4 linked regions of the Drosophila melanogaster genome follow. Changing the gene in region 3 together with the main gene of any one other region gives a genetic interaction. Each region holds a gene or a part of one and is shown on either strand. Other genes may lie near its edges.

Evidence for each region.
Region 1: of Rap1 (region 3) and C3G, changing one suppresses a phenotype caused by changing the other (phenotypic suppression), as found in Drosophila melanogaster (one study listed by BioGRID).
Region 2: of Rap1 (region 3) and mys, changing one suppresses a phenotype caused by changing the other (phenotypic suppression), as found in Drosophila melanogaster (one study listed by BioGRID).
Region 4: of Rap1 (region 3) and Epac, changing one suppresses a phenotype caused by changing the other (phenotypic suppression), as found in Drosophila melanogaster (one study listed by BioGRID).

The regions. Positions count from the first base shown.
Region 1 is NC_004354.4:6,787,652-6,792,878, reverse strand, and holds the start of C3G (C3G guanyl-nucleotide exchange factor), read left to right. Parts: upstream 1-1,843; 5' UTR 1,844-2,656; coding exon 2,657-3,167; intron 3,168-3,827; coding exon 3,828-4,418; intron 4,419-4,485; coding exon 4,486-4,676; intron 4,677-4,753; coding exon 4,754-5,227. UniProt on the Drosophila melanogaster protein: Guanine nucleotide-releasing protein that binds to SH3 domain of Crk. Transduces signals from Crk to activate RAS. Also involved in MAPK activation.
Region 2 is NC_004354.4:8,059,677-8,065,051, reverse strand, and holds the start of mys (myospheroid), read right to left. Parts: upstream 3,408-5,375; 5' UTR 3,327-3,407; exon of another isoform or gene 2,972-3,326; intron 1,213-2,971; 5' UTR 1,095-1,212; coding exon 593-1,094; intron 520-592; coding exon 291-519; intron 1-290. UniProt on the Drosophila melanogaster protein: Integrin alpha-PS1/beta-PS is a receptor for laminin. Integrin alpha-PS2/beta-PS is a receptor for Tig, wb and Ten-m. Contributes to endodermal integrity and adhesion between the midgut epithelium and the surrounding visceral muscle.
Region 3 is NT_037436.4:1,858,484-1,864,488, forward strand, and holds Rap1 (Rap1 GTPase), read right to left. Parts: upstream 3,757-6,005; 5' UTR 3,578-3,756; exon of another isoform or gene 3,447-3,577; intron 3,334-3,446; exon of another isoform or gene 3,194-3,333; 5' UTR 2,729-3,193; coding exon 2,174-2,728; 3' UTR 632-2,173; downstream 1-631. Other genes in the region: HBS1, read right to left, coding at 4,550-6,005. UniProt on the Drosophila melanogaster protein: Ras proteins bind GDP/GTP and possess intrinsic GTPase activity. Plays a role in photoreceptor cell determination.
Region 4 is NT_033778.4:6,795,634-6,800,744, forward strand, and holds the start of Epac (exchange protein directly activated by cAMP), read right to left. Parts: upstream 3,309-5,111; 5' UTR 3,137-3,308; intron 1,780-3,136; 5' UTR 1,308-1,779; coding exon 1,273-1,307; intron 1-1,272.

The sequences.
Region 1 (5,227 bases), on a different chromosome or scaffold from region 3:
TCCTCTCGACTTGCGTCGCCTTCAAGTGATATCGGGTTTTGGTTTTTGGGGTCTTCGCCGGCCTGGCTGCTCTTACAATTTCCCATTTGTGCGGTGTGCCAAATTAATTGGGTGAACGTGACTGCTGCTGCTCCCTAGTGCTGCCATCTCGTACTGGAGGAGTGGGTGGTGGCTGACCGAGTGCCCGAAAACAAAGCCCATTTCGGGCACTGGGTCAAAAACTGAAATTTTTTCGCAATTGCTAGTTCCCGGAAATTAATGTAAAGCATTGCCCGCTCTTTGTTTTTTACAATTCTCCAGAATGTTATTCGATTTTAATTAACAGTTTTTATTGGAATTCAAAGCTAATTTTGTTGAAACAACTAGCACTACTAGGCATGACTAGTTTTAAATTCATAGAAAGTCGAAGCTCGTTTAAGGTCCTATTAGAGAGGCAACGAACTACGACGACCTTGATATTCGAACTTTTCACTGGACGCAGGCAAGCTTTATTCTATTTTAATTGAGCCATTGGCTAGGATTTCAACTTGGCCTTAACCTTAAGCCAAGGATTCAGTTCCACCCTTTGGCCATTACCCATTACAAGGATGGCCTTTCTTTTTGGCCGCTAACCCGATCCACTTGGGTTGTTTTTTTCCTGCTTTCCATATACATTTCAGTTAGTGGGGGCTTATTGACTTGCTCTCTTGTTTTGTTGTAAGCTTTTGCTTGAGATATATAGTTTTTTATATATTTTTTTTATATTTATTTTCTTATTTATTTTCTTGCTTGCTGTACTCACTTTTGGCGACGCCTTCGATTTTCGCCCATTTGCGCAGCAGCTAGTTGATTTCCAAGGCAAGTCACGAGCGGCACTTGCAAATTGAAGAAATCCGCCCGGCGTCTTCTTGTCTCTTGCCCCGCATCCACCTCACCCCCCCCCCTTTACCACTCCCTTGTCGCCCCCAATTACCGCCCCCTCACCCTTCGCCACGGGCTCTTTCTCAGGTGCGCCAGCTGATTGATAATTGGGCGGAGAGGCCGACGGTTGGAGAGCAGCCTCCCGGGTGAAAAGAGCCGCAAACCGCGGACTGCACTGCGAGAAAGGGGGGTGTACCTGCAAGTATAAACAGTAAAGTAACTTGTCATTTTAAAATAGAAATATTATCGTAAATATATACTGAATATTTGCACGATTTCCGAGCCACATTGAATGGATACGTTTGTAGCACCCGTTTGGTCCATCAGTGATGTGAACATGTATGATTTGTTTGATGAATCTCGGAAAGAGAAAGAGCGATGTGGCGAGAGCAGCAGGAGAGATCAGGAGAGATGGTGAGAGGGCGATTGCCAGGTGGGCAAGTGCCATTTGGGGCTCTTTTTTTTTTTTGCCCCCTCGGCGGCTCTCGTGTTGCTGCTGCTGCTGCTGCTGCGTCTGTTGTTGCTGCTATTGCTGTATTGCTATATTGCTAATGTGTTGCCATTGCCGTTGGCCGGTTAGCGGGTCTCCAAGACTCGGACACTCGCTTTTGCCGCCTGGTCGGTCTTTCAGTCGGTCGGTCGTCTTTGGCTTTGCCCGTTTTGCGGATTTTCATAGTTCAGTGCGCTTTCCAGTCGACAACGACAACATCGCGAACGGACTACGACGACAGCCGCCGCAGCAGCAGCAGCAGAGCGCCAGTGTCTAAATATAATCATCTTTATTTGTGATTTATTTAATCAACATCTCCTCACCCAGAGGCCAACCAGATAGATAGCCCACTGCGGGGGCGGTGCGCCAACGAGATGGATGGATGGATGGATGATGAAAAATCAAAGAAAAGAGCGCCAAATTGCACTTGAAAAGTGAAAGAAATTGCACTGAGAGTGGCAGGCCAAAAGTGTTAGCTTATCGCTTATCGGCGATTGAATCAATCAGCCGAAGCCTGTTGAAATTTCAAGTTCAGAAATGCAAAAGTGACTGTGCGGCGAATGGAAAGCTATTGGGGAAAATTGCGGAAATCGCACTTGAAATATAAGTAAAGCAAAAGACAAGTGGCTTTGGAGTTGATTACCTTCAATTTACCACAATCGGGCAGGCAGTAAGAAACGGAAATTAGGGCTTGATGGCTTTTAAACATTAAAGAAAATAATATACGGAAATCACTATGGCCAATTGAAGTGATCTCTAAGCTGGCATACTTGTATTTCAGTCAAACAAAGAGTGTCCAGAACAATTCTTGCGGTTGCCACAGGAAGCTTGAATCGGTAATCGCTTGAATTGCCTATCGGACTATCGAACGAATTGCAAAAGTGAACGAACATGATGAGAAAGCAATTGAAATCTACTTCCTGCTGGCAGAGCACATCGGATATAGCTTTTATCAGTGCTTAAAACTTTTTCCGAAAACACTGAAACAACCGAAAACTGAAAGTGAAATAATCAATGTAAAACATGCCGAAACAGAAAAATGAATTGATGTTGTAATCGCGACGGCAATCGCTTAAATCAACAATCTTATACGAAAACGATGTTGCTGCTATCGCTTATCGCTATTTGGAGAAATCAGTTAGGCCAACGTGTGTGTCTTTTGGCCAAGCATATTTAAGCCACAACAAATTGTTGTTATGCGTGTTGCTGTCGCTGTTGCTGCTGTTGTTATTGCTGCTGCTGCTGCTGCTGTCATTATGCAACATTATGCCGCAGTTTGATGAATCTTTTTTGAGCGACTGTGCGCTCGCCGACCGCTGGCATTTCTATTCGTACACGGTCAAGCAATTGCCGCCACATCCGAGTCCGAAACCGAATCGGAATCGGAATCCGTATCCCAGCGGTGCCAGCCACGATGACCATCAGCACCAACTCCATCATCATCATCATCAACAGCACCATCACAATCATCATCGTCTTTGGAAGACTCAGCGGCAGTCGTGGTCGCCGCGCGACACCAACAACAATCATAGCCTCACAAGCAACAACTGCAACTGCAACAGCAGTAACACCTGCAACAGCATCAGTGCCACCGGCAACACGTTGCATAGCATCAAATTCCACAGACGTCGCAAATACAAAAAGCTGGCACGATTGGCGCTATCAACGCCAGCGATTCCACTGCAGATGGATGTGGATGTCGATGTGAATGTGACCGTGGATAGGGAGTTCGATATGGAGATGGACACACCTGTGCCGCTCAAGAATGCGGTGTGCCGTAAGTGAAAGCTACTCGCCGGTCTTTTCGCTTGGTGGGTGGTGCTCATCGGTTTCTCGCTGTTTTGGATCTTTAAAAAAGTTCCGAAACTAAAATGTTTGGGCTCGCATGAACGATTCCCGAAATGGGGAATGCTAGGAATTCCGTATTACATATGTTGATTTCAATTGCAATTATTTCACATTTAAGTAGACACGTTTCAAGATTCGAATGAGTACATATGTACATATATTGTGTTGTGAAGGGGTAATGATGAATCTTTTCAAGATTCCTCAAGCTGTTTGGCTAACTCTGAAAGATTTTCATTTTCGCTGCTGGCTTAGCCACTTTAGAATGATGTATACGATGACCTTAAGATATTCATCTTACCTAACCAAATGAAGAAAAGTAAGAAACGAAACGATACCAACATTGCCATATATTGCAAAAGATTGTGGTTTTATATGGAGCAACTTTTGATTTTCAAATTGGCATTCAAGAATGCGGCTCGAACAGGAAAGACTCTAAGCCCATGATATGTGTATATATATAGGATCTAGATTCCAGTCTTAGTCTCTTATTATTGTTACCCAAAAACGTATATTGTTATCTAATGCCTATGAATTGATTAAGTGTACCTACCTTAGATTAATAATCCCCGATTTCTTGCTCTTTTTGCAGACGGCAGCATCAGTTCTCCATCCACGCCCGGCACCTGTTCCAGTGGCATCGGAGTGGGCGGTGGCGGCTGCAGCAGCAGCAGCAACAATAGCATCAACAGCGGCAGCTACTCCACCGCCTGCACTCCGCCACCACCCACGCATCAGCATCACTCGCAGCACCAGCAGCTGCAGGGCACGCCGGGAGGATCTAGTCGGGTAGGGGGAGCAGGAGCAGGCGGAGGTGGTGGTGTACCACCGGCACCACCCAGTGCCGGATCCTCGGGCCACAAGAACAGTCTCAAGGGCACCAAGCTAGCGCGCCGGGCGCGTTCCTTTAAGGACGACCTCATCGAGAAGATTTCCCTGATGCGAACCACCAACAATACACTGGGTCGCTCCCACTCGCCGCACAGTCCGCGCACCAAGCACGGCACAAAGGCACCGCCCACCACCGAGGAGGTGCTACGGTCCACCCAAACCCTGGAGACGCACGTCAAGGACATTTCGAATGCCCTGAAGCACTTCCGGGATGTTATACTCAAGAAGAAGCTGGAGGTGTTGCCGGGCAACGGAACGGTCATTCTGGAAACCATAGCCAGCATGTACTCCGGTGAGTATCTACTACCCCAATTTCCTCGTTTTGTAATTAATCCAGTTGCTTTCCTTTGCTGCCGCAGTGATCCAAACCTATACCCTGAATGAAAACAGTGCCATCATGAGCAGCGCCACGCTGCAGGTTTACCAGAGCCTGGGCAAGCTCATCAAGCTCTGCGACGAGGTGATGCTCTCCGAGGACAGCGGCGAGTGCGCCTCCCTGAGCAACGAGAATGTGCGGGAAGTCATTGATCTTCTCGAGGATGCTGTGCGGGTAAGTCCAATTAACACTAACCTAGTACACAGTGTATTGCTATAATAAATACGATGATGTTTCATGATCGTGCACAGAATCTCGTTACGCTGGCGCAGGGCAAGCTGAAGGAGCAGGATCAGTGCGCCTTTCGCTACAGTGGATCTGGCTTGGGCGGCATTGGAGCGGCGGCGGAGATCATGGGTGCGGTCACCGCCTCGCCGGGAGCGAGTGTTCCCGGTACTGGAGTCATGCGCGTTTCGGCCGCCGAATCAGCTGCCCAGCGTACTTCGTTGCCGGACATAGCGCTCACGCCCAAGGAGCGCGACATACTGGAGCAGCACAATGTGAACCCGATGCGCGGCTCCCACAGCACCGAAAGTATCCTGCGCGACACGAGTCCACCGCCGAAGCCACCGCTACCCAATAGGGCCAGTAATCCGCCGCCGTTGCCACCAAAGCGACGCAGCCAGCCGAGCGCATCAGCTGGTACAGTGGGCGTAGGCTGCTCATCGTCGACATCCACCTCCAATCAGGCCAGTCCACTGCCCTACGCCCAGTCCCATAATATT
Region 2 (5,375 bases), on a different chromosome or scaffold from region 3:
CAGAGTTTCTGGAAAGTAGCATCACTTAAAAATAAACTTAATTTGATTCGCTATTTGAATCATAAGCACATTGTCATGACTAGAGGGGCTATTGTACGCTACAATAGACAAATCATAATTTTAACAAGTCAAATACGCTGTATAATATAATATATAAATACAATAATTTAATAGGCCTTAAAGAAATGCACCATCAACTGACGGCATCTGGCATCATCTTCAATCAGCAAAATTTGTAGAACTATTTCCAATTCATGGTTTTCCTTCACATTTATGTAGGTCATACTCACTTTTTGGGAATGGTCGAGACATAGGGCATGAGCACCTTGTCCACAAACGAACCGAAACCAAGATGGAAATTGTTGGTGATGCGTTTCATGGTCTCGGACAACTTGTCGCCCAGCGTAGACAATTTGGCCTTGTCGTCCTCCATAGATTTGGAGAGATCCATCAAGTAGTAGAGATCCACCGGATATCCCTCCGCCTGGGAATAGCTAATCTTGATGTTGTGTTTCTCATCTAAGGTGTATTGATAAGCAAGTAAGGGATTAGTTTGTAGGTCACATGGATGATGCAATCGTTTGCTACTCACTGACGCGCAATGCGAGTCGCATGGACTGCGGTTGGATTTGGACAATTTCGCCGGCAGAGTACTCTTCGTATCCGCTGGCGGAACTGGATCCCGAGGAGCTCTGCGAGTAGAAGCTCGACGAGCTCGAACTCGACGAGTAGGAGCTTGAGCTGCTGCCGGACATGGCGGAGCCGCCGCCACCAGCCGCCAGTTCAGCTTTGTATTGATTCGTTAGTTTGTTGTTCACTAGAATCTGCTCAACTGTTATCGGACTGTAGGCGAACTCCTCCGGACACAGTGAGCTGGTGTTTTGGTAGCACCGCGACTGGCCCTTAAAGTCCGGCTGCATGCACCAGGCGCAACCCTCTGTCTGGATGCAGGTGTGACACTTTTCCTTCGATGCACATGTGCTCACTGCCGTCAGTTTGGCCGCCTTCTGGGCATCCGTTTGTCCAGCGATGGCGGCCAGTATTGCGATCATGAGGAGGGCCAGCTGGCACCTCCGGTTTCTCTCGAGGATCATGGCTTTGGCGGTTAGCGGTTGGTGCAGGTTGTGGATGATTCGGGATGCAGGAGGATCGGATATCCTTGGATGTGCCAGGTGCTGTGTGTGCTCTGTCTCTGTCGCTTCTGTGCGCCGGCTGCAATGGTAAGTGAATTAAAATTGTTGGATTTAGCACTAGATGTTAAGTAAGGGGCAGAAATTATTATAAAAGCCATTCCTGGTTCACTTATATTTCTAATGCTACATATTTTATATTATTTTTTTTTATATGCCTTAATCTTTCATTTATTTTTAAGACACAATTTGATTTCTTCGATTTCGCTGCAATTTTTACGAACGCCGGTGTACGTAAAAGTCCAGCTGCTGACTGCACTGCTTGTCGAGCACTGCTTTCTCCGCGTGCCCTGCTTTTTTCTTTATTGCAACAACAAACAACAGCAAATGGCCGCACATCTGTCCCCTTTTTTTGTTGTTTCTTTCGCTCTACCTTAATGTTTAATTTTATTTTCTCATCAACTTGGCCAGATGACTCATCTCACAAACACACACACACACCAAGCGATTGATGTACGAACTTGTGTGTGGGTGTGCGTGCCTGCGTGCTTTTGTTGTTTTTTTTTGTTGGCCTCCGAAAAGAAAAGGAAAAAAGCGGAAGGAAGAGAGCTTTCGATAAACGTCAAATGCAATGCGAATTACTCATTCGAGCACGTTCCGTTAGCACGCTCTCTCGCTCTCTTGGCTCCTGGCAAAATGTAAACAAAGGCCGAACGAACAATGAGTGGTCATTGAGTCAGCTTCGCTGGGTTTCCTTTCCGCCTAAAGCCACATGAATCACTCACTCCAAGCCACTCAAGACTCAAATCAAAATTCCATATGCACGGAACGGAAAAAAAAGGGCTGCAGATTACGTATACGTATGGGTGTTGTGTTGGTCGGCTATTTTTAAACGCCCACGCACACACAACACAACGAACACTAACACACCACAGAGCTTGATTTGCAGCAGATCGTGTGCCGAAAGGAAAACAAACTAAAAACGACTAAGCCCATGTTTATATACCCTTGGATTGAATAATTTCATTCGATTATCATTTATACACCCAGTCACAGCATATCAAAGTTATGAGTTGTGCACTTAGTAGTAGTTTTAATCAGTTTTTTAGCTAGCAAATTCGTAATACTATAAACCGCCTGAGTAAACAGCATCTGCAGCGCATAGTTTCAACCACGGATGGACGCCCACAGCCATTGGGCCAAAAACGAGGCACATCTGGGCCGCCCACATGTGGGCGTACTGGTTAAACCAGCGGCGCGCAGAGGATTTCATTTTTTTTATTGTTTTTTTTTTGATAGCTTTGGTAAAATTGGTTTTTACTTCCAGTTACAGTTGGTTTCAAATTCGGTTGGCTGTTTATAAAGTGGACAATTACCCCGAAAATCTGGGCAATCCCCTGACAAACACAAATTCCTGCTGCTGCCACTGAGCTCTTGATTTTTGTACGCTCTTTTCGCTTCTGCCTACGTACTCTACTCGATTTTTAGTTCGAGTGCAAGATCTCCGGGGTGGGGAAGTTGCACTGAAAAGGGAGGGGGCGTAATCAGCAATTGGCGTCGCGAAGTCGCCGATATGCACACTCAAAGAAATAAATAAATATGATGAATAATAATAACAAAAAAAATGAAACGAGTGAATGTATCGTGAGGATTCATTATTTTTTTTAGCTCAACAAACAACCCACACACAGATACGGCGTTCGGTGTGTGCGTGCCTGTGTGTCGTCACTGCGAATGAAATCATCGAAAAAAGAGGAGATAAAAGTAGCGCTTCGATATTGCTTCCTCTTTTTTTGGGCAAATGCAGCCCGGAATCCATTGATTTCTTACGTAATACCCACTATTTCACCCGCTATCTGATTAATCGCAGCACTTTGGCTTAACTTTCGCTGCGTTTTCGCTGATAATTCGCGATATTAATTTCCATCAGGGCGGCACTTTTCTTATTTTGATTTGCCTTCTCGCACACTTGTGGAGTTCCCACTCACACGCACACACTCGCACACTAAACACTAGCACTGTGCACACACGCAGTTATTACAATTACTTGCCACCGTTATTCGCTAGATCAGCGAATTTAACTCTTATCGGGTGACACGAAAAACCAAAAAAAAAAATACAATTCGACTGCAGAAGCAGCAGCTGAAGGCCGCCAATTGGTGTCGGGAATTGGATTTGGATTAAATTAATATTTACTGCTTTGCTTTGTCCGCGGATCTGGTCTGTTGTTCAGTGTTACCAGATGGTGTCAGCAGGGGGTGGAACAACAGTCAATGTTCTTTCGATATTTGCCATCCGATGTTCGCCAGTGTTGTTAAATAGCTCTGGTCACACCGAGCCTAGGAACAGTGTTGCACAGTTTTGGAGGACTGTGTCTCCGCTAAAAGAGACATTTGTGCTCGCAAACACAATCCGATAAGTAATCGAGAAACACGTAAAGGAACTCTGGTTATCGGAGTCACTTATTGCACGATAGTTTCAGACAAAAACGCCTGCTTATATCGATGACAGCCTTGTTTTTGTTGCGCTTACGTTACGAAATTAATGTAAAGTAGCCGACGAATCTACGTTCTACCAGTATAAATGGATTAAAACTAACAACAGCATAAGTGTAAACTGCTGGTGAATTTCCCAAATAGCCATATGAAAAAGCTAAAAGTACGTGCAAATGGTTGAGAAAAGGAGAGAACGAAAGCCACTATGAGTTTGCGAGAGTATGTGTGACTACTTTGCTCTCTGGCTCTCTCTATCACACACACTCGCACAGAACGCTCTTCTCACATGCTCTCTCTCGGCCGGTAGCTCTAGCTGTCCCGCTCTCGATTTATCAATAAAAGCAGTGCGTTAGAGCGGCATAGCCGCATGTACCAAGCGCGTGCGCCTCGTGCCCGTCGGCTGTCCATGTGTGCGTGTGTATTCGCATTTTCAGTAATTTCGAAAAAAAATTTTGTATATTTGATGGCGACTCAGAAGAAACTCGCGCGTTTGTCGAAAAATCGTAGCGCGTACGTATATATCGGTGTGTAGAAATTACTAAAAATTGTGGTAAAAAATGGCAAAAATTATATAAATTTGTGTTCGAAGTGGAGTGCTAATTGCGGGGGATCAGATGCGAATGGAAAAATGTTGAAATTTATAAGATTTTAGCGCCAAAAAATGCATTTGAAAAATGTGAGACTTCAATGGACATGACAAATTTTTTTTTTCATTTTTTTCGGTGGTGGAACAAAAGCGAACGAAAGAGGAGCAAGAAGCAGAAACGTTCGTCAGTGTGTGTGCGTGTGTGTGTCGAGTGAGGGGGCATGAGCATGAACGTGTGTAGTCACCAAGTGAATAATATTAACAAATAAAAGAAGAAAAAACGAAAAAAGAGGAATACACACGCAGAAGCGCGCGAAAAGTTTCACTCGAAATGAGAAAAAACAAAAGCAAAATATACTAGCGCTAGTTGATTTTCGCTAGCAAAAAGAAACCGACGTGCACATTGAAAATCTATAATTTTGTCGATTTTGTTATTGTATTTTTTGATTTTGCGGTTTTGCGGCGCCGTCGGTAACGTTAGCATACCGTTACGTGGCCTACGTAGCGTGGTGACGTACAGAAGACGCTTACGTTGTGGGTTACGTTACATTTGTCGCTGGGGATTTTACTCTTTCTCCCTCTCTTTACGCCACACTCATTCTCTGGCGCGCGCAAATCCAAAAATCTCGAGAAAAAAAATAGTGCCCGATGTGACCAATATTTTTTGTTTTTATTTTTACAGTTGCAACTTTTTAACAATCGTGTACAATCTGTATGTTGTATATGTTCAATTCAAAATTCAGCAACAATAGCAACAACGCAATTCAGCAACAACAACAAACAAAACCGACAAGCTAAACTTGGCTAAGACAAAATCAACATCCAGCGGCAGCGCGGCCATAAACAAAGCCAAAATCAAAAGTCATTCGGATATATACATATATTCGCCCATAATAGCGAATAAACAGTAACAGAACGAGTGGATTTAACGAAACAACAAAAAGAAAAGAAGAACGATAAAATCCAAAGGAAAAGTAAGTTTAAAAAGTGCAGCGCACGTGGCGTTTACCCCCGCCTCCTCCACCACTAGCCGCCCACCTTCGCACAGTGGAAAACGACACAAGAGCGCGCCTCTTCGGTTTGCCCCAAGGACACTTTGCATTTTCTGCTAGTTTTCGAGTATTTGCTTAGGGGTCAGCAACCCGGCAAAATGGAGGGAAATTT
Region 3 (6,005 bases):
TCGATACTAAGGCGGCCTCTTTTAAGCCGCGATTGCTAGAGATTGCTAGAAAGCCACACTCACTCACACGTTCGACTGATTATAAAAAGCGTTAATTAACAAGCATCACACCAGGAATCGGAGGCGAGTCCCCCAGTATAGCACTTTGCTTAGCCCAAAACCTAGTCATGAAGCGGAACTCGAGCCACTTATTGTACAGTAATAGAAACTACCACGTAACTCTGTCTTAAAATTCACTTTCTACATTTTAACTGCTGGCGAGCGATTCGCCGGCTTCTACGAAAAGCATGCATTATGATTGTATATCTCAACCCGCGAATCTCTCGGAACTTGCATACCATATCAGCTGTGGATACAATGCGGTTTTACTACTCCTACGCCCCAACTTAACTCCGAATCGATCCTATCGCAGATCTTACGCTGGATTAACATGCGTGCTATAAACTAGCAGAATATTATAATTATAAAGACGAGCTATTTGATTGTAATTGTATATGTATAAATATTTGAATAACAACCTTATATAACTATTCCAAGTATCAAATACAGATATTTCAAAACTTCAATGCAATCGTCTTGTCTTTAACTTCTGAATGAACTATGCTAAGAATAAGGCATACGCTCCACAAATGAATTTATTTAATTTTTATTTTGTTTTTGCATTTCCTTTTTAATTTTTTATAAACATAATACATTTATTAATAATTAAAAGATGCTCGATCATGTCGACCTACTGCGTCGCGAATTCGGGACTGCCAGGATTCTGAGATCAGAGGCTCTGTGTGGGGTCCCAAAAACGCGACCAGTAGGGAAACAAGTTCGAAAAAATGGTTTTTCAATTACATTTTTCACACGCTCATTATTACATTATGTTATTGTAACGGTTGGTTTGTTTGTTGTTTATTATGTTCAAAAATGATTTGTATCTTTATCATATATTTAATATATACGCTTGGGCTTAGGTTTTATTTAGTTTACTTTTAATGTTGGTTGTTGGCTGTGTTTAGACTTTGATTTAAGGGCATATTGGTTACTACTCGTACGCGAAGTTTATGCAATGTTTATTATGAAATATTTGTAAATTACTTCGTTTTTAGGTTTCTTTTCATTTTGGGATTGACACGACAGTTTAGTTTGTGTTAAACCATTTCTTATGTATTAAATATTCTAGAATTTGTGGCTCTCTCTGCACTTCCTGCTCCTCTTCTTTTTACCAGGAAGCGGAAATGAGCCTTGGCCGCAGGAGCCTCTTGTCTCGATTCCGCTTCCGTTTTCGTGTAGCTTTTTCGCTCTCTGAGAGCGCGCCGGAAATGTGTAGGTGTGTTTGTGTGTGTGAGTTCTGGTTGCGAATGTGTGTGTGTGTGTGTGGGATGTGGCTGGTATGTGTGTGTTTGGGGGGGGGGGTTCAGATTTGATGCAACTGATCGTGGTAAACAATTAATTGTAAATTTGTTTTAAACTAATTTCTAAGGGGGAGGGGGCTCATTACTTCTGGTTGTTTGCAACATTTTGACATCATTTGCATACAATATTTTTATAAAATATGTTCCTTATTCATGATTCATTTCCTTTCTCGATTTATTTGCTCATTTCTCTCGTGGAATTTGTTATCTTTATCTTTTAGGCGTACAATTTAGTTTAGCTTAATTTGATTTGTGTTTCGAATGTTGTTTTCGGTTCTATTTAAAGATATACTTGTTGTTGGTTGGGCTTTCGCGTGTATAAGTAGTTGTAGTTGTAGATGTGTAGAGTACAATCGAAAAGAATCAATAAATACGAATGTTTTAGTTTACGAATGTTTCACTTGTTGCATAATTTAAAAAACGGCTCAAAAACGAACGACAAATATATTTAAATATGTAGATATATATATATAATAATTCCCCATATGAATTAATGGTTAATCAGCGAAAAATAGTACAATCATAATAGTAGTAAATGGTAATAATTACAAAAACTTGAAACAGTTAAAAACATTTGTCAGTTTAAGTTTTGCTTGTATATAGTAGATTGGTTATTTCAATTCGACAATTGCCATCGGATCCAAAACGAAACGAGAACGAAAAAAATTTGAAAATTCTTTACTTTACGCTTATACTTTTGCTCCTCTCTCCTCCTCCTCTGTTATATATTTTTTTTTTTGTTTTTTTAGTTTTGGTGGTTTTTGGAAGTCTTATAGCAGAACACATAGGGACTTTTTCGGCTTCTTCTGTTTCTTCTCGGGCGACTTCTTGTTGATCTGCCGGACCAGGTCGTAGAAAATATCGTTCACATTCACTTTGGCTTTGGCTGAGGTCTCCATGAAGGCGCAGTTGAACTGGGTGGCCAGGTTCTTGCCCAGCTCCTTGCCGACGACGCGCTCCTCTTCGAGGTCGCACTTGTTGCCCACGAGCACCATGGGCACATCGTCCGTGTCCTTCACCCGGAGTATCTGCTCGCGCAGGTCCTGCAGATCGTTAAACGTCGATTGCGCCGTGATCGAGTAGACCAGCACGAATCCCTGGCCGTTCTTCATGTACAAATCCCGCATGGCCGTGAACTGCTCCGTACCCGCCGTGTCCAGGATCTCCAGCATGCACTGCTGTCCGTCCACCTCCACCTGCTTCCTGTAACTGTCCTCGATGGTGGGATCGTACTTCTCCACGAAGATGCACTGGACAAACTGGACTGTCAGCGCGGATTTGCCCACGCCGCCGCTTCCAAGGACCACGATTTTGTACTCACGCATGCTGGCTGCTGTGCTGTTTGTATATCCTTCGTATATCTCTTGTTTTGTGCTAAATTCTAGGGAAGAGACCCAAAATGCAGGTAGGCCAGGTAGGTGGGTTCACTTTCCAGGTGGCTCTCCCTCGAAAATCACTTGTTTTTAGGCGTTGTTCGGCGATTGCTTGTCGGTTGCAGTTGTTTTTTGTTTTTGTTTTTTTTTGTTGCTCTTGCTTATTAGTTAATATATGTTTTATATTTAAAGTAAATTGTTTGTTGTTGTTGCTTTTGCTGTTGATAACCTTTGTGCCGTGTAAGTGACTGCGTGAGTGTGTGTGTGTTAGTGTGTGTGAATGTGTGATGGTGTTTGTGCTCCCTCTCTCGCTCGCTCCTTCCGCCGAGTTGCGTGCGTTCAATTGTTGCTTTTTTGAGCGGAAATATCCTGGCTTGACTGTTCCTCGAGACGGCCGTCACTGCTACCGAGAGCACACTGTGGGGGGAGTAAGAAGAAAGGCGCTTTTTAGACACAATAAACGCTAAATTCTTTGCGAGTCTTTTTGGTTTGCGTTTTTTGGTATGCTGAGAACTGACTGCACTCCCTCTTTTCTTCTTCACAACTCTCTCGTTCTCGTTCTCGCTCTAATGATTCATTTTCAGGGTTGCCAGGCGGCCGCACCGAACGCAGCGCCCCACTGCAACGCCTCAAGCCGGAGATTCCCTTAAATTTCACTCAGCTCTCTCACTTAAAATGCACTTAAATTGCACACTGGGCACCCATGTGCGTACATCGGCCTACCGAACGGCCACTAAACAACTGAACCACGCAAATGCACCCGCATGTCGGGCGGCAGGGCAACTCTGGGCGGAGTTTTACCTATGCTTTTCACTCGCTGCCGCCAACTGCTTGCTCCTTGGGGACCGCTTCACCTGTCGCCGCTCGCGAATCGCTTCACTTTTAATTTAACACTAGTTTGCCTTGTAATTTCTTTACTTTTTCGCCCTCAGCGAACAGCGAACACTCAAAGACTAGGGCTGCCAAAGCATCGATGGCACTATCGGCACTCGCAGGCCGAGGGCTACGCACGACTATCGCAATGGCTTAGCGATGACACTTTTAAAGCATTGCTGTAAATTTTAAAAATAAACTATAAAATTTATATTCGAAATATATTTGATTCTTTTAAATTTATATTAGCACATCAAATTTTGGAAATATTTAAATTGTTATTTTCCCTATATATTTTTTTTTAATTTTAATTTTGTTAATACGATTTCATATTGAAATTGTTTTCTACAGTAAGTGATATTTTATGGTATTCCTATTTTATTTTTTAAGCATAATTTGCAAATAATATATAAGCTGTGTTGCCGATAGTTTAAGAAAAAATTCTAATGCTTGATTGTTTCATGAATCAGCAATATGATTCGCATTCAGAATTTTAGTCAGCCGCATATTCACATTTTCGAGATACAGTTTTGAATCATAGAATTTATCATAAGGAAAATAATTACAATTTATACAAAAATTGCAATATCACGTTTTTGGAATATTATTGTAGGGGTCATAATATTCCAAAAACGTGATATTGCAATTTATGTATAAATTGTAATTATATTCCTTATGATTAATTCAATGATAATAAATATAATAATTTCTTAAAGTGATTAATTCCATGAAAAACACACTCCACTTTAAGATACCGCTAAAATGGTCAGACCGAAATCTCTTCCAATGCTTCAGCGTCTTTTCGATTTAATCAATTCATATAAACTATGTATATTTAGGAAATCAACAAAAGTTAATATCTAACTAAAATTTCGTACAAAATCCAGCGCGGTCATCGACCTAGCGGATCTTGGTGACCATTCCGGCGGCAATGGTGACTCCCGCCACGCGAAGCATCACGCGTCCCAGCTCCTTGAAGTCCGCATACCGCTCGATGCAGATGGGTCTGCTGGTTTCCAGTTCCACTAGGGCACACGAGTTGTTGCCCAGGCAACGCGGCTTCTTCTTGACCACCTCGCCGGTGCTCTTGTGAATCGATGCGGTCAGCTTGCAGACCACGGCGGGCTCTATTAGGGATTGGTGGTGCAGCAGCACGGGGAAGCCCATGGTAATGGGCACCTTGACGTTGAACACGATTATGCGGGCCTGGAATCGCGTTGTCACCGGAATAGGGGTTTGTGGATCGCTGATGATGCAGCCCACGGTGACGTTGTTGATGTCCAAGGCGGGCAGGGTGACGGAGACCTGATCGCCGGCGAACACGCAAGTCTGTGGGAATTCGTTCATGGTAAGGGATTTCACTTGGGCCTGCTCCCGGCTGGCACCCACCAGCACCTTGTCGTTCAGGCACAGCACTCCGGTTTCCACTCGTCCCGAGATGCAGAATCCGGAGCCAGTGCCCTTGTAAATGTCCGACACGGACATTCGCAGCGGTCTGTCGATGGCTCTTTCGGGGATCTTGAAGTTCTCAATGACATCGAGGAGGTGGCGTCCACTGTACCAGTTGGTCAGGGCGGGTTCCTGGGCTTTCTTGGTGAGGTTCTCGCCGGTTAGTCCGGAACAGGGCGTAAAACTCACATCGGAATCCTTGAAGCCCGCCAGTTTGAGGAAGGACTTTAGCTTGGTCACAATCTCTGTGAATCGGTCCTGGGACCAGCCAACGGTGTCCAGCTTGTTGATGACCACGCCTAGCTGGTTAACCCCCAGGGATCGCACTAGAATGGCGTGCTCTCTAGTCTGTCCGCCGAGCTCAAAGCCGGATTCAAACTCTCCCCTTGTAGCATCCACCACCAGAAGGGCAACATCCGCCTGTGTGGCACCGGAGATCATGTTCGGAATGAAGTCCTTGTGCCCCGGAGCATCCAGCAGTGTGACGATCTTGGTCTTGGTTTCGATACGCGACTGGCCCACGTCCATGGTGATGCCGCGGGCCCGCTCCTCGCCCGTCTCGTCCAGCACCCAGGCATACATGAAGCTCTGCTTGCCCAGCTTCTTGGACTCCTGCTCGTGCTTGTGCATCACTCGCTGCGAAACGTTGCCGGTGTCGTACAGTAGATGGCCCATCAGCGTACTCTTCCCGGCGTCGACGTGACCAATGACAATCATGTGAATGTGGCTCTTCTGGTCGGCTCGCTCCTTCTCGTACAGCTGGCGGGCATTGCGCACGGCCTGTTCCTTGGAGACCTTGAAAACGGTTGCTGAGCTACGGGAGATGTCGTCGCCGGCGCTAATGTCAACGGGTGTGTTTCTGCCCGAGACCACAGGCGATGAGGGCACCTTGGGCGAGGGTATTTCG
Region 4 (5,111 bases), on a different chromosome or scaffold from region 3:
AATGTTTGATTAGCTCGAATCAAGTTCAACTTAAGCTTAAGTACTGCGCACACACTAAAATAAATTTGGTTATTCCGTAATTGTATATAAATATTTTACACGCTAAATGCTGACTATTCTGTTGATTGATGCAATAGTAAATGCTTTAGAATGCTGACTATTCTGTTGACTGTTGCAATAGTAAATGCTTTAGAAATAGCATGTCATCAGGAGAGATACTCCATCTCACATATGAGCTTTTTCATTAATTTAGATAAGGGTAATGTTATTATGTTGGCTGTGAAAAGATAAATACTGTGGTGTCCAGATAAAATGAAACCGCTCTCTTAAATGGAAAGTATAAAGTCTGACATCAACTAAAAAAAAAAAACAATAGTCCCGTGCCTCTGTTTTATTCCACTAAAATAATGTTTGCACAAGACTAAACTCCATCCAATTGCAAAGCACATATTTACGTAAAAAATGTATGTGCATTAAAACCTCTGAAATGCGGAGCTTTCAGCAGAAATATATATATTTTCAATTAAATTATAGTATTTTTATACTTTTACAGCGGTTTAATTATTATTTTTGCACGACAGAAAACACTTTTCAGGCATAGCTCATGAAATGAATGGTAAATTACTTTAATGCTTTATCATAATATAAATTGTATTTTAAGAGTAGTATCATTAAATGGGTTGGTTTATTTATAGCGAACTACAATTACATTTATTTTGCATTTCAATTCACAAGAAAGATATGAATGTCATGATTAAAGTCCTGTTTTTATTTTCCTTTGTTCGGTGTCCAAATCAGGAATGATGAAATAATTGCTGTGCAGAAGGCGGCTCATTGAGTTACGGAGAATTGATATCGAGATTTAATAAAGCGGATAATTCGTGGCAGGCCGTGTCCACAAAGTGGATGGATTGGCCATTTGCCAGCCATCAAGGATGGAGGAGGATGGGGCACCCCGATGTTGGTTCTTGACAAATGAATGTCGAGCATGACGGCAACATTTTAAAATGTTTCGCTTCTCGTTCTCGTTTTGTTTGTACTCCACGTCGAGCTTTTCATTCAACTTACACGTACGTCGATGTGTGAGTACGTGTCTGCTCCGGGAAAACAGAGGAAAGAAACTTGTGCACTCAGCTGGGAAATGCCTTAAATTTAAGAGAAAGCATTCCGTTTCAGCTAAGGAAACTTTTGGAGCTAAAAACTTAGAATTTAAAGAAAAGTTCCCCAAAATCGCTGCTCATTAATTGTGCAGCTCATTAAAAAATCACTTACCGTTTGTCCATTGCAGTTATCCATTCCATCGCCATGTTGAATTTTTATTTAAATCTCCCTCGCTCGATTAGTTTCGCCGTTTGACACAAGTTATGATACAAGTTATGAACAGCACATTCCACAAACACCAAACCAAATAGTTGCCCCAACTTTGAGCAGAGCACATAAATCGAGGCGGAGCGGCTCCAAAGTGGTGCAAATTAATTGCCCGTTGCGGCCCAGGAAAGCGAAATCAAAATACCGAGTAATGGCGGCGCTCGCACCCAGTTTGCAGTCACCTCAATCCGCGATGTGGCCGTCAATCTGCGATTCCCTTTGAATACGACATGCCAGGTGGCTCGGCCCAGCGAGGCACTCGAAATCCGCTTTTGGGAGCGTTGGAGCGAGCTCCTTTCGAGTTGGAGCCAGGGGTAAGTGGACGTAGCTCGTTGATTAGGCGAAAGTTTGGAAATGGATTTCAGTTTGAGCTCCCGTTTGGCTGGCGACGAGGATTTCGATACCGAGCAGCTGCAAAGTTAAATTGGGCGAATGTGAGTCTAAATTCACTATACAGCAGTCGTAAGTGTAAGCTAGCCTTGGGATGTCGGACTCTAATATAATTTATATAAAATGCCAGCAGCAGATGTAAAAGTTTCCCTCTTTCCGATTTTTTCAGCCACATAACTAATGTGAATTGCTATTGTTGGACTTGCCAAAAAGGGTTTTCCCAACTGCTGATAGCTGCCCAGAAGGCCCCACTGCGTCAGTGTGTGTGTGCTTGTGTGTGCTTGTGGGTATCTGTGTCGCCAACAAAAGCAAATGTTATGAATAAGCTTTGATGCCTGCTCGGCCGGCGAGGGGGTGTTGTGGTGCAGGAGAGCGGTGAGGGCGGAGCACCAACAAACTGTTGGCGCACAAATCTAACAATAGATTTCCAGATAACAATAGATTACTCCACACACACGGCGTATACTTAATGCGCTGTCAATGGGCATTCTAATTTCCCAGTATGCCCAAATCCAGATCGTATGGCATGCGAAGGCACGATCTAACCGCGAATTCGTTACCGAACTCCATGTTTACCCATGCGCTGCACTATCTGTATCTGTACCGCAAACGAATGCGTATTTTGTTCTGCGTCAATGGGAAAAAACATAATTTATACCACCCCATCAGAAGTGCAGTGGCTTTCGTCAGCGAAATGGAACTGCAGGCGGAACAAGTGTTCGAGTGACGGCTCAAAAGGAAAGACATCGCGAAGGACCATCAGCTCGCATATGAATAATTAAGTATTCGCCATCGTGGCCAGCCCGCGAAGGCGCCCGAATGTATGCCACGTTTTCTGACGTGTCGTTCGCTCGCTGGCTGGCTCCACGTACATAAATGGCGACAAAAGTCCCGGGGGCGATAAGACTGATATTGGCGATATTCCGAGTGGACGACTCGATAAGCGGCCACTTTCGAACGAGTTGTCCATCCTGCCAGCAAATGCAATTAGTGTCCGGAGTGGCGGTTAGGGAATTGAATTGAACAAGCTTTGAAATCGCCCTGGAAACAGATGTTCCATGTAATTTCCACTTTAGGGTTTCAAACTTTGTTTTAATTAAGCAACCGAGTGAAAGCAAAACTTTGAACCACAATAGATGTGATTTAACTGCCCACTGCAGCCGTTGCCAAACGGAAAACTTAGCCATTTAGCTTGGTCATGTGGCGAAGAAACATCATGAATCGAATACTCACGCATCCTCTGAACGGAGAAAAGGATCAGAAGATGCAAGAGTAACAGAGATCCCGCAGCAGAATTCGATATTTTAAAGTCCTTCTTGTTGGCAAACACTTTTTGGCACGGAAAATGAACTTTTAGTTTCGAACCCACGCGACATACCGAAATCCAGCGAATACCTGAAATCGAACCGACTTCAAACGAATATTTAAATGAACCACTTGCTAACGGCTTTCAAGCACTTGGTATATACAGTTCTTGGGCAAACATTTCAGTTCTCGACCTCCGCTGAAGCGCTATCGCGTCCGATTCATTTGGTAGTCGCGTCGCAACTGCTCGGCCGCCTTCCATTTTCCGACTTCCGAGCGGCGCTCTTCACCACGCTCCTGTCCTGCGCCTCGCAGGTGGGTTTCCCGGCGGAGATTGGGGGTCGTGGTGGGTTGTTGGAAGTTACTCATTGCCGATGACTGCAGTGTTGACGGCTGCGGTGCGGTACTTTTGGCCTTGTTCCGCCTTCCCGCCGTCCCTTTCCGTCACTCACATATTTTGGCGCGTTTTTTAGCAACAAGTTTGACAAATCTTCGGCACAGTGGGCTTACATCCAAATCGGTGTGGTCAAAATCCAAATAAAATTTGGCACACGAAAAAACGTAATTTCAAAGTAGTTCTAATTAAATACAGTTTCTTTGCTTATAGTGTTTGAAATTATACTACTTTTGTTATAATATTTATTATAATTTGAATCCCATTATTTTGTGATATGAATGGATTTCTACTATTCTTTTACGATTTTAAACTTAATATTAATTTAATTTAAATATTATTCTTATTCATTTACTGCCTACACTTATATACGATAATCAGCAAAGAGATACAATTTGTATAAAGATGGCTATAATGATATAGCATTTAACATATAAATTTATGTTCTTGTTTGATTTATTTGTTTTACTTACTTGCTTATTGCTTATTAGTATAGATTGTCTTAAGTCCTCACATGATTAGTGAGAGGTTTGGTTTTATCTTTTATATGTTAATTGCGCTGTTATGTTACTGTTACTGCATTGTATGGATTCATCGCTTCTAAATAAATAAATATAAAAAAAAAAAAAATATAGATTGTGTATTGGGCTTTAAAGATGAAAAGTTAATCGAATCTGATATGTTGTATTACGAATAATATTGCTTGCCTAGTCTACTTGAAATAACAATTTGTTTTGACTCTATTCACTCGAATGTTTAGCAACATTTGCTGCTCGCTCTCCTATTCTACGTGCTCCACAACAAACTGTTGAGCGTTATTTTGGTGAGTCGTCGCAGTTGACCAGCTCTTCAACAGGCACTTGTCCGTCCGCTCGGCCGTCGGGCGAACAGCGGACAACCCCGCACCGCGCCCCGGGCGGAACTGCCTCACACCCTCGCCTGAAAGTGCACATAAAATGGAATCGCAATGCGAAACAATCAACATGTCAATTAAATAATGCACACCAGCAGCGGACACGAAACAACGGACAGAATTTACGGAGCGAGTGCGTGAACACCCGGACTTTTGGTCACTTGGACACTTGGACATTCACTGACGGCTTGTCACATTCAGCTAATGAATCAACGGCGATTCAGTCGTGTTCGCTCCTGAAAAGGTGCGAAAATGCAAAGCTTTCCTTTTGTTTTCCACCTTTCCCAGAGCCGCTGTTGTTGTGGTCGCCACCACAATATTTACGGCACTCTCGAGTGCCTTTATTTCCGCATGAATCATTCCCAGTTTCGGTTCCAGCTCCACAGGCTGCCCCAGCGCATATAAATTCTTGGCTTTTTCCCCCAGCTGTTAATGCACAGAAAGAAAAATAGTTAAGGTGGATCGTAGTCTGGTATTCCTAGATAGGTATTTCATTATACACAAACGGGTGTAGCATAGGATAAGTGCAAAGATGAATTACTTCTACTAATATAATTAGACATAATTAACAATAACGGTATAGCACTAAATAGAACTGACGTAATAAAAGTGGAAGACTACTTTCCCTGTGTTGCAGGGTTTTTTTTTTTTTTTGGTTTTTCATGGGGTCTGCCTGTCGCATTTTTTATGAGCCTCCCCCATGTTGACAGGACCACCATAGACATTTTTTCGGGCTTGCCA